2 linked regions of the Bombyx mori genome follow. The protein of the gene in region 1 interacts with the protein of each later gene in a pairwise test. Links are inferred from orthologs where the notes say so. Each region holds a gene or a part of one and is shown in the gene's direction. Other genes may lie near its edges. The genes, in order: disks large 1 tumor suppressor protein and ATPase family AAA domain-containing protein 3A homolog.

Region 1 (3,827 bases):
GTGTTCTCAAATTGTTAGGATATTCTAAAATATAGTGTAATTTCTTTAAGATAAAAATAATCTAAAGTACCCATCATCTACTAAGACAGCTACTTTCAACATAAAATAAATCCTAAATTACCATCCTATTCATTATACAATTTTATCATATATGAGTCGACTATTATCAAAGGCGGCAATCTGACTTTTGGACAATGATTGGTAAATCAGAAAAGCGAATTATTGACTTTGTATTCCATTGGCAGTCACAAAACTCTTCGGAACGACATCTTAGATAAATAACAGGTTAACTATTAACCTTTATTTAATGCAGGTTTTGAACCGTATTCTTTGAAGGAGACGATTATATTCAAATAAATCTGTATTGACATATCAATAAATTTTTTTTGTCCAAATGCACAGATTGCCGCCTTTGATAATAGACGACTCATATATACATTACCTTGTAGAAATAAAAACTAATGACTGCTTTTTAAACAAGAACACACAACGGCTTTGCTGCAGAAGCTGGCCAAATTATTATGACATAGGTATAATAGTAAAATAATGACCAATTTAAGTTCTTTTTATAGGTGAATGATGTGAATGTAGAAAATGTGACACATGCTGAAGCGGTTGATGCACTGAAAAAGGCTGGTAGTACTGTGAGATTGGTAAGTAATTATTATTACTAACCTTAGAATCATGCCTATTCTTAGAAATCACCTACATGAATGCTATGCCGGAACCATATTGATAAGAAAAGCGGTTTCCATAAATGAGCTTCCTAGAATTGTTGCTGGCAACTGATGAAGGTCAGGTCAGGTCTTGTGAAATGACCTCTGTGACCAAGGACATTCTTGTTCTTACATACAGTGGTGGTAATAGGGTATATTAAAATGCCAGACAGGTTGGTCCCACCATTGTATACAAACTGTTCCCATAGTTAAAATGGCAATAATATATCATCTACCAGAACAATAATGTACAGAAATATTCATAATAATTTCCTAAGCATATGCCTTGAATGTTATAAGTAGTATGAATTCTTATGTATTCTGATATATTCAGTCAGGCAGGTGTCAGGAAACGTTTTCCTCCAGATTGAACCTTCGATCTTCATCTGTTCTGATGAAGCTAAGGGCCTGTGCACACCACGTTTTTTAAGCGCGCGTTTCCAAAACGAGCGTCGACGGCGCGCTTTTATCCTACAGAGCGGTTTGTTGTCGTCTGTATCGATACAAACACGCGTTAGCATCGCGTCTGTATCGATTCAAACGTCTATTTTAATTTATACAGGTGTGCAAAGGTCTACAGGCTGCGTCTGACTTGCGTGCGTATCGCGCCTGTATCGCTACGAAAGAGCGTCGACGGCGCGTTTAAAATACGTGGTGTGCACAGGCCCTAAAAAGGGCTGCAGACTAACTGCAATGTTTCCCACTTAAAAAAATCCAGTAAATCATAAAAACGTTAATGACACGTCATCATTCACAAGGAATTTCATATCATTAAATTCTTGCACCTGTATTGCATTTCTGAATACTTCAAATGAACATTCATATACTTAAAAATATTTTTGAAAATTAAAATTATTGTTTATTATAGCTTTTATGTGTTTCTTTATTGATGATTAATTACGTGAATACATAGGTATTTACACTGCTTACAATTTACAGAAAGTGCGACGTCGAGCTATAGAAGATACCCTAAACGTGTCACAAGTGTCAAACAAAGAGGAATCTGTGGAAATAGAACTTATAAAAGGTGGCTCTGGCTTGGGCTTCAGTATAGCAGGCGGACTCGGTAACCAACACATACCCGGTGACAACGGCATTTACGTTACCAAAATCATGGCCGGCGGCGCTGCGCATCAAGATGGACGTTTAAGAGTTGGTGATAAATTGCTTATGGTCAAAAACACTTCTGTAAGTAATCCAGCCTGTTTTATTAAACTGCATTTTTTTTTTATTGCTTATATGGGGGGACGAGCTCAAAGCCCACCTGGTGTTAAGTTGTTACTGGAGCCCGTAGACATCTACAACGTAAATGCGCCACCCACCTTGAGATATAAGTTCTAAGATCTCAAGTATAGTTACAACGGCTACCCCACCCTTCAAACCGAAACGCATTACTGCTTCACGGTAGAAATAGGTAGGGTGGTGGTACCTACTCGCGCGGACTCACAAGTGGTCCTACCACCAGTTAAATAAAAAACAACACATCTAATTATTGTTGTCGATTATAATATTGGAAATAAATAAACAGAACGGAGATGTCAATTTGGATAACGTGACACACGAGGATGCCGTGGCCGCTCTAAAGGCAACAGGAGAACGCGTGTTGCTAGTTTTGGTACCAGGGCCGAGACACGGACAACCCTCGCCGCGCACTTCTCGAGCTAACACACGTAAGACATCATTAAATTACTATTAGTACCTATATAATCTAACGATATAAATATTAAAAATCTATCAAACATCGGACACGATTGATTTACTTATTCAGCTATAATTAACTGGTTACGATTGGCACCACAGTAACAATTTTTTTTAATAAATAAACTATTTGAGTCGTCTATTATCAAAGGTGGCAATCTGTGCATTAAAATTTGGACAAAATATTTTTATTGATATGTCAATACAGATTGATTTGAATATAATCGTATCCTTCAAAGAATACGGTTCAAAACCTTCACTAAATAAAGGTTAATAGTTAACCTGTTATTTATCTTAGATTTCGTTCCGAAGAGTTTTGTGACAGCCAATGGAATACAAAGTCAATAATTCGTTTTTCTGATTTACCAATCATTGTCCAAAAGTCAGATTGCCGGCTTTGATAATAGTCGACTCATTTTAAGTTTTAGACATTGTAAAAAAAATGTACACATTTAACAAGGAATTTAATAATAAAAATAAAAACAGCGTCGAGCGCAGCAAATTCTCTCCGACGCGAAGACGCAACGGACGGCGGCGAGGAGGTACGCGTGGTGGAGCTGGAGAAAGGTCCCTCGGGCCTGGGGTTCAACATCGTCGGTGGCGAAGACGGGCACGGCATCTACGTTTCTTTCCTGTTGGCCGGCGGACCTGCGGAGAGGTCCGGCGCTCTACGGAGAGGAGACCGTCTGCTCGCAGTCAACGATCTTGACATATCGCACGCCACACACGAACAGGCCGCCAAAGCCCTGAAGGTACTGTTCCGTCCATGTCTTATTCATAGACATAAGGTAAACGTCGCTGCCCACATCAAGACATCAGGTACTGGTGGTAGGACCTCTTGCGAGTCCGCAGGGGTAGGTACCACCACCCTGCCTATTTCTGCCGTGAAGCAGTAATGCGTTTCGGTTTGAAGAGCGGGGTAGCTGTTGTAACTATACTGAGACCTTAGAACTGATATCTCAAGGTGGGTGGCGCATTTGCATTACATTATAGATGTCTATGGGCCTCAGTAACCACTTAACACCAGGTGGTCCGTGAGCTCGTCCACCCATCCAAGCTGTAAAAAAAAAACGCGTGATTACTATACACCAGAAAAAAACAGGACTGGTATCATGCAACTAGTACTCAAGATAGATAAGTCTAGGAAAACTGCACTAGTATGCATATTTTTGCATGATCAATAGTTCAATATACTGCTATTGTGGCCCATTTCGAATTTTTTCAATTAAAACATTAATTGTTTTAAACTTTCTCCATCTCACTATACACACTATTATTTAACGTGTTCTTGGAATGATTGCATTTTTTCCTACCCAATCGTTTGTAGCTTAAGAGACTATTCCAATTACGCGTGGACCGGTACGTGATCTTCACGGGCTCAACCCGCAAGAATTGCTAACATTGACCCTATCA
Region 2 (4,328 bases), on another chromosome or scaffold:
GGGCTGGCGGCACGATCTTCGCAACATACGCTTATAATCTGTTCAGTCTCTTCATTACATACAAATGCACAATGATATGGCTTGCTGTTAACTTTATGCTCTGGAGTTATTCTAGCTTTTACCGTGCATAGTTCGAGCGCGGAAGCTTTAATCTCGGCCTGCCATGCTCGAGGCGTGGTCTTGCCGCTTGGCGGACCCCGCCTACAGGCGACGGACCGTCGAGCGACCGGCGACGTCTCACCTTCCGAGCAACGCAGGTGCTCACGGGACACGGTTGTTTCGGTCGCTACCTGCACCTCGTTGCCCGGAGGGAGCCGACGCCGAAGTGCCATCATTGCAGTGGCTGCAACGAGGACACCGCGGAGCACACGGTCGCGTACTGCCCCGCTATCGCGGAGCGGCGCCTTGTCCTCCTTGCAAAAATAGGACCGGACTTGTCGCTTCCGACCGTCGTGGCTACGATGCTCGGCAGCGACGAGTCCTGGCAAGCGATGCTCGACTTCTGCGAGTCCACCATCCCGCAGGAGGCGGTGGAACGGGAGAGGGAGAGCTCATCTTCCCTCTCGGCGTCGTGCCGCCGCCGCCGAGCCGGGGTTCGGAGGAGGGCGTTTGTCCAGCTCCGGCCCCTATGAGGAGGCAGTCTCCTCCCGGTGATGGTCACGGGGCGACCTAAGGAGATTGAGGCTGCGCCGTACGTTACCGTCACTCTAGCGCGCTGGCACCAGGAGGACGGGGTGCGCGTCGGCGGCTGCGGACTGCGACGCGGTCCGCATTTTCGTCGTCGCTGTCGTCGCCGAACATACTGTGGAAGAGCAACCCGATCGGCGGTGTATCGCGCTCCGACCTGGCAGGCTGGTTCTGGCCCAGCGAGGTAACAATAGCGGCATCGCCCGGGCGGTCTGGCAGGGCCGCCGTACCGCGGAGACTGATGTCGTTGTTCGTCGACAATCGCCTCGACGACCCGTCGGTCGGGCGTCCTCGGGGTGGCGCCGCGTGTCTGGTTGTAGTGTTGACCGCGGGAACCCCCTACTCTGACCGGGTTTTGACCCCGGATGGAGATCGGACGTCAGGTGTAAGAGTGCAGGGGAGTCGTTTAGTGGGTGGGCCCTAAAATTCCTTGGGCCCGCGGTCTGCTCCCAACACCTTGCAGATCGTCAAGTCCCACATACCCCGCGCGCTCCCTAGGCGCGGAGAGAACGTAAGAGGTTCGGGCCTCGGCCCGAAAAAAAAAAGCTTTTACCGTGCATAGTTGGCCTTCTCTTTACACCTGCATATAGCCAATGGCGTCGTCACATTAGCTTTCTTGGGCAAATCTGTAAAACATTTTAATAACTTTATTAGATCTTCGATTCATTGATCCGTTAGTGAATACTTACCTTAAATCTAGATCTAGAGTACCTAAATAAATATTTTACTACAAATATTGATATCGATTTTATTGTTTGTTCAATATCTACGATGGGTCACCGAGTTGCCACCGGTCGGGCGGGTACGGTTCCAGGCGGTCAAGCTCACGAGAGATTTTTGTGCCGATTCGTAGTTTTGCTTATTTCTTTAAAAGGATAAAACGGTAAATAACAAACAGAAATCTATTTTAAGGTGTTTAATGGTACTATAATAGGTAGTTATACAAAATATTATAGTTGGATTGCACTGACTCATTTAGTACTAAGCGAGTTGAGGTATTGTATTTCCGTAGATAGTTTCTTACCAAAATACAAATAAAACGGTAATAAATAAGATGTAAAAGTACGGCGGATAAAAGATTAAGTAGGTAGGTATCTTATTTCTGCGCTTGTATAGAACGAATTTGAGTCAAAAAGTCTAAGCCCACATACACCACGTCTGAGATAGTAATGCGAGCGTAAAACACGAGTCTCCGTGCGGAGGTAATTATAGTTCGTCCAGTTTTAGTGCGTTCCGCCGTATTTTTTTACTATCTTTAATATTTTTTATTGTCTTTAAATTTATATAATTATTTTTTGTTTTTAAGCGATTGGAAACTTCCTCATTCTTTATATCAACAGAAGATATAAAAGATTAGGCTGTATGGTGTGATACCTTGGCCTTGTTTGTTGGAAAATAGAATTACTGCCTACTTTCAGTTTGACAGTTTGTGGTTTGACCACTCCGGCTGTCGTGCCTTCCATAGCCGCTACTCTACTAGATATCATCAGTTTTGTGAACAATCGTGTTTCTTATGAAAGTAGTTTACTAACACAACTTGAAAATTATTTACTGAAGTCACGATGTCGTGGCTATTTGGGTACAGTTCAAAACCTCCACAACCTCCTCCTTCGGACGATCCACCAGCCGATGGGGTTGGTGTTGCCGCACCTTCTACTAACCTTTCTAAATCAGAGAGGAAAGCCATGGAAGCCTACCGGTTTGATTCAAGTGCCCTAGAGCGAGCTGCATCGGCTGCAAAAGAGCTGGAACGATCAAGTAAGATATTTTATAACTTTTAATCACGTTGCGCGCTATTGCATAATGCCACCGCATAACCTTACATTTTAGAATGATTTTTAAGAACTACGGCAATTGATATGAATTCATTTAGTTTGATTGATGATGTACATCAAAGTATTAAAAGTGGATAGCCTAACAAAAGACTTCCGTTTTTATTTTCATATGTATCTTCCACTATACTCAGCCCTAAATTCACTGTGTATTTTAAACACTTATCGCAAAAATTAGCAAAGCGAAACAGGTATAAAATGCATGATAAGTTAAACAGTGAACAACTATTGAACTTAAATAACAATCTGATAGTCGTTTGTTTTATGGTGTATATCATTTTTGCATGTTGATCACTCCCTTATAATATATGAAAGTGTTTCTGCTGCTACTGCTTGCATCTATTTGATAAAGTACAGCATAATATGTTATTTGATTGGAATTACTCTTTTAGGACATGCAAAAGATGCTTTGGAGCTTAGTAAACTTCAGGAAAGTACTCGACAACAGGAGCAAATGGCCAAGATTAAGGAATATGAAGCAGCCATTGAACAAGCTAAAGTAGAACAAAAGAAAGTTGATTATGAAGAAAGACGAAAAACATTACAGGTTACTTTAATTTTATAGATCAGTCAAAGAGGTAAAAAGTTCATGAAGATGTTTCTTTTAGAGGCATTTAATAATAATAAATTCTCATCTGTTATAGGAAGAAACAAAACAGCACCAAATGAGAGCTCAATACCAAGATCAATTAGCTAAAAAACGTTACGAAGAACAACTTGTACAACAACAGAAATCTCAAGAAGAAATTCTCAGAAAGTAAGACAGTTGAAAGATAATTTGAGTATACTTTTCATTAGAATATAAAATACATTGATATCAATTAGATTAAAATCACAATATCAGTCCCCTAATATTATAAATTAACTAAACAACCTTTATTTTAGACAAGAAGAGAGTGTAGCAAAACAGGAAGCCTTAAGGAGAGCTACTATAGAACATGAAATGGAGCTGCGAGAGAAAAATAAATTGAGAGCAATAGAAGCAGAAGCTCGAGCCAAAGCGCAGGCTGACAGAGAAAATCGAGACATAAATCTTGAACAAATTAGACTAAAGGCTGCTGAGAACAGAGTTACTATTCTAGAAAGTATAAAGTGAGTTTATGAAATTGGATTTTAGATATCTTACCTCGTTAATTTTTGTATAACTTCACTTTTCCATACACTAACTTTATCATACAAACATTACACAATTGATTGTAATGTATTGTAATTATTGTATGTTAATAGGACAGCTGGGAGCGTAGTAGGTTCTGGTCTGAATGCATTAGTGACAGATTGGGATAAAACTTTAGCTGCTGCAGGGGGTTTGTCATTATTGGCACTTGGTGTTTATTCAGCAAAGGGAGCCACATCGGTTGCAGCTAGATTCATTGAGGCTCGCATTGGTAAAAAACATAAATTTCTATTTATTTTAATCATCTTTATGTAAAAAGTTATTATTCTTTCTAGTTTTTCATTCATTAGTATAATTGGCAGATAATTTTATTTAATACATATTATTATATTTATCATATTTATTATACATATTTAAATTAATGAATCTGATGTTGGTTGTGTCAGTTTGTACAAATATGAATTGGTTAATGTACCAAGAATTATTTAATAACTCAAATTTTCTTACTAAAGTAACTAATTGTATTTAAAAACAAAATGATAACACTTTACGTAAAAATGATTTTTAAACACATGACAGGATTGATATAGTTTGCAGTGTGAATAACAGGTAGAAATGTTGATTGTTATGAAGGTTGTTTGTATTTTAATCCATCACACACTCATTTATCTTTCTACAAATTTTAGCGTACTGAC

The links.
Region 2: the proteins of disks large 1 tumor suppressor protein (region 1) and ATPase family AAA domain-containing protein 3A homolog interact in a two-hybrid assay, tested with the Caenorhabditis elegans proteins (3 studies listed by BioGRID). The link is inferred for Bombyx mori from reciprocal best matches to the Caenorhabditis elegans genes dlg-1 and atad-3.

Annotation. Positions count from the first base shown.
Region 1 is NC_085118.1:7,817,947-7,821,773, reverse strand, and holds part of disks large 1 tumor suppressor protein, read left to right. Parts: intron 1-572; coding exon 573-653; intron 654-1,655; coding exon 1,656-1,904; intron 1,905-2,244; coding exon 2,245-2,386; intron 2,387-2,900; coding exon 2,901-3,166; intron 3,167-3,827. UniProt on the Caenorhabditis elegans protein: Essential multidomain scaffolding protein required for normal development. Recruits channels, receptors and signaling molecules to discrete plasma membrane domains in polarized cells. Required for proper embryonic elongation.
Region 2 is NC_085107.1:9,466,528-9,470,855, reverse strand, and holds the start of ATPase family AAA domain-containing protein 3A homolog, read left to right. Parts: upstream 1-1,416; 5' UTR 1,417-2,249; coding exon 2,250-2,445; intron 2,446-2,911; coding exon 2,912-3,066; intron 3,067-3,163; coding exon 3,164-3,276; intron 3,277-3,404; coding exon 3,405-3,611; intron 3,612-3,746; coding exon 3,747-3,904; intron 3,905-4,328. UniProt on the Caenorhabditis elegans protein: Essential for mitochondrial network organization, mitochondrial metabolism and cell growth at organism and cellular level. Important during development for the up-regulation of mitochondrial activity during the transition to higher larval stages.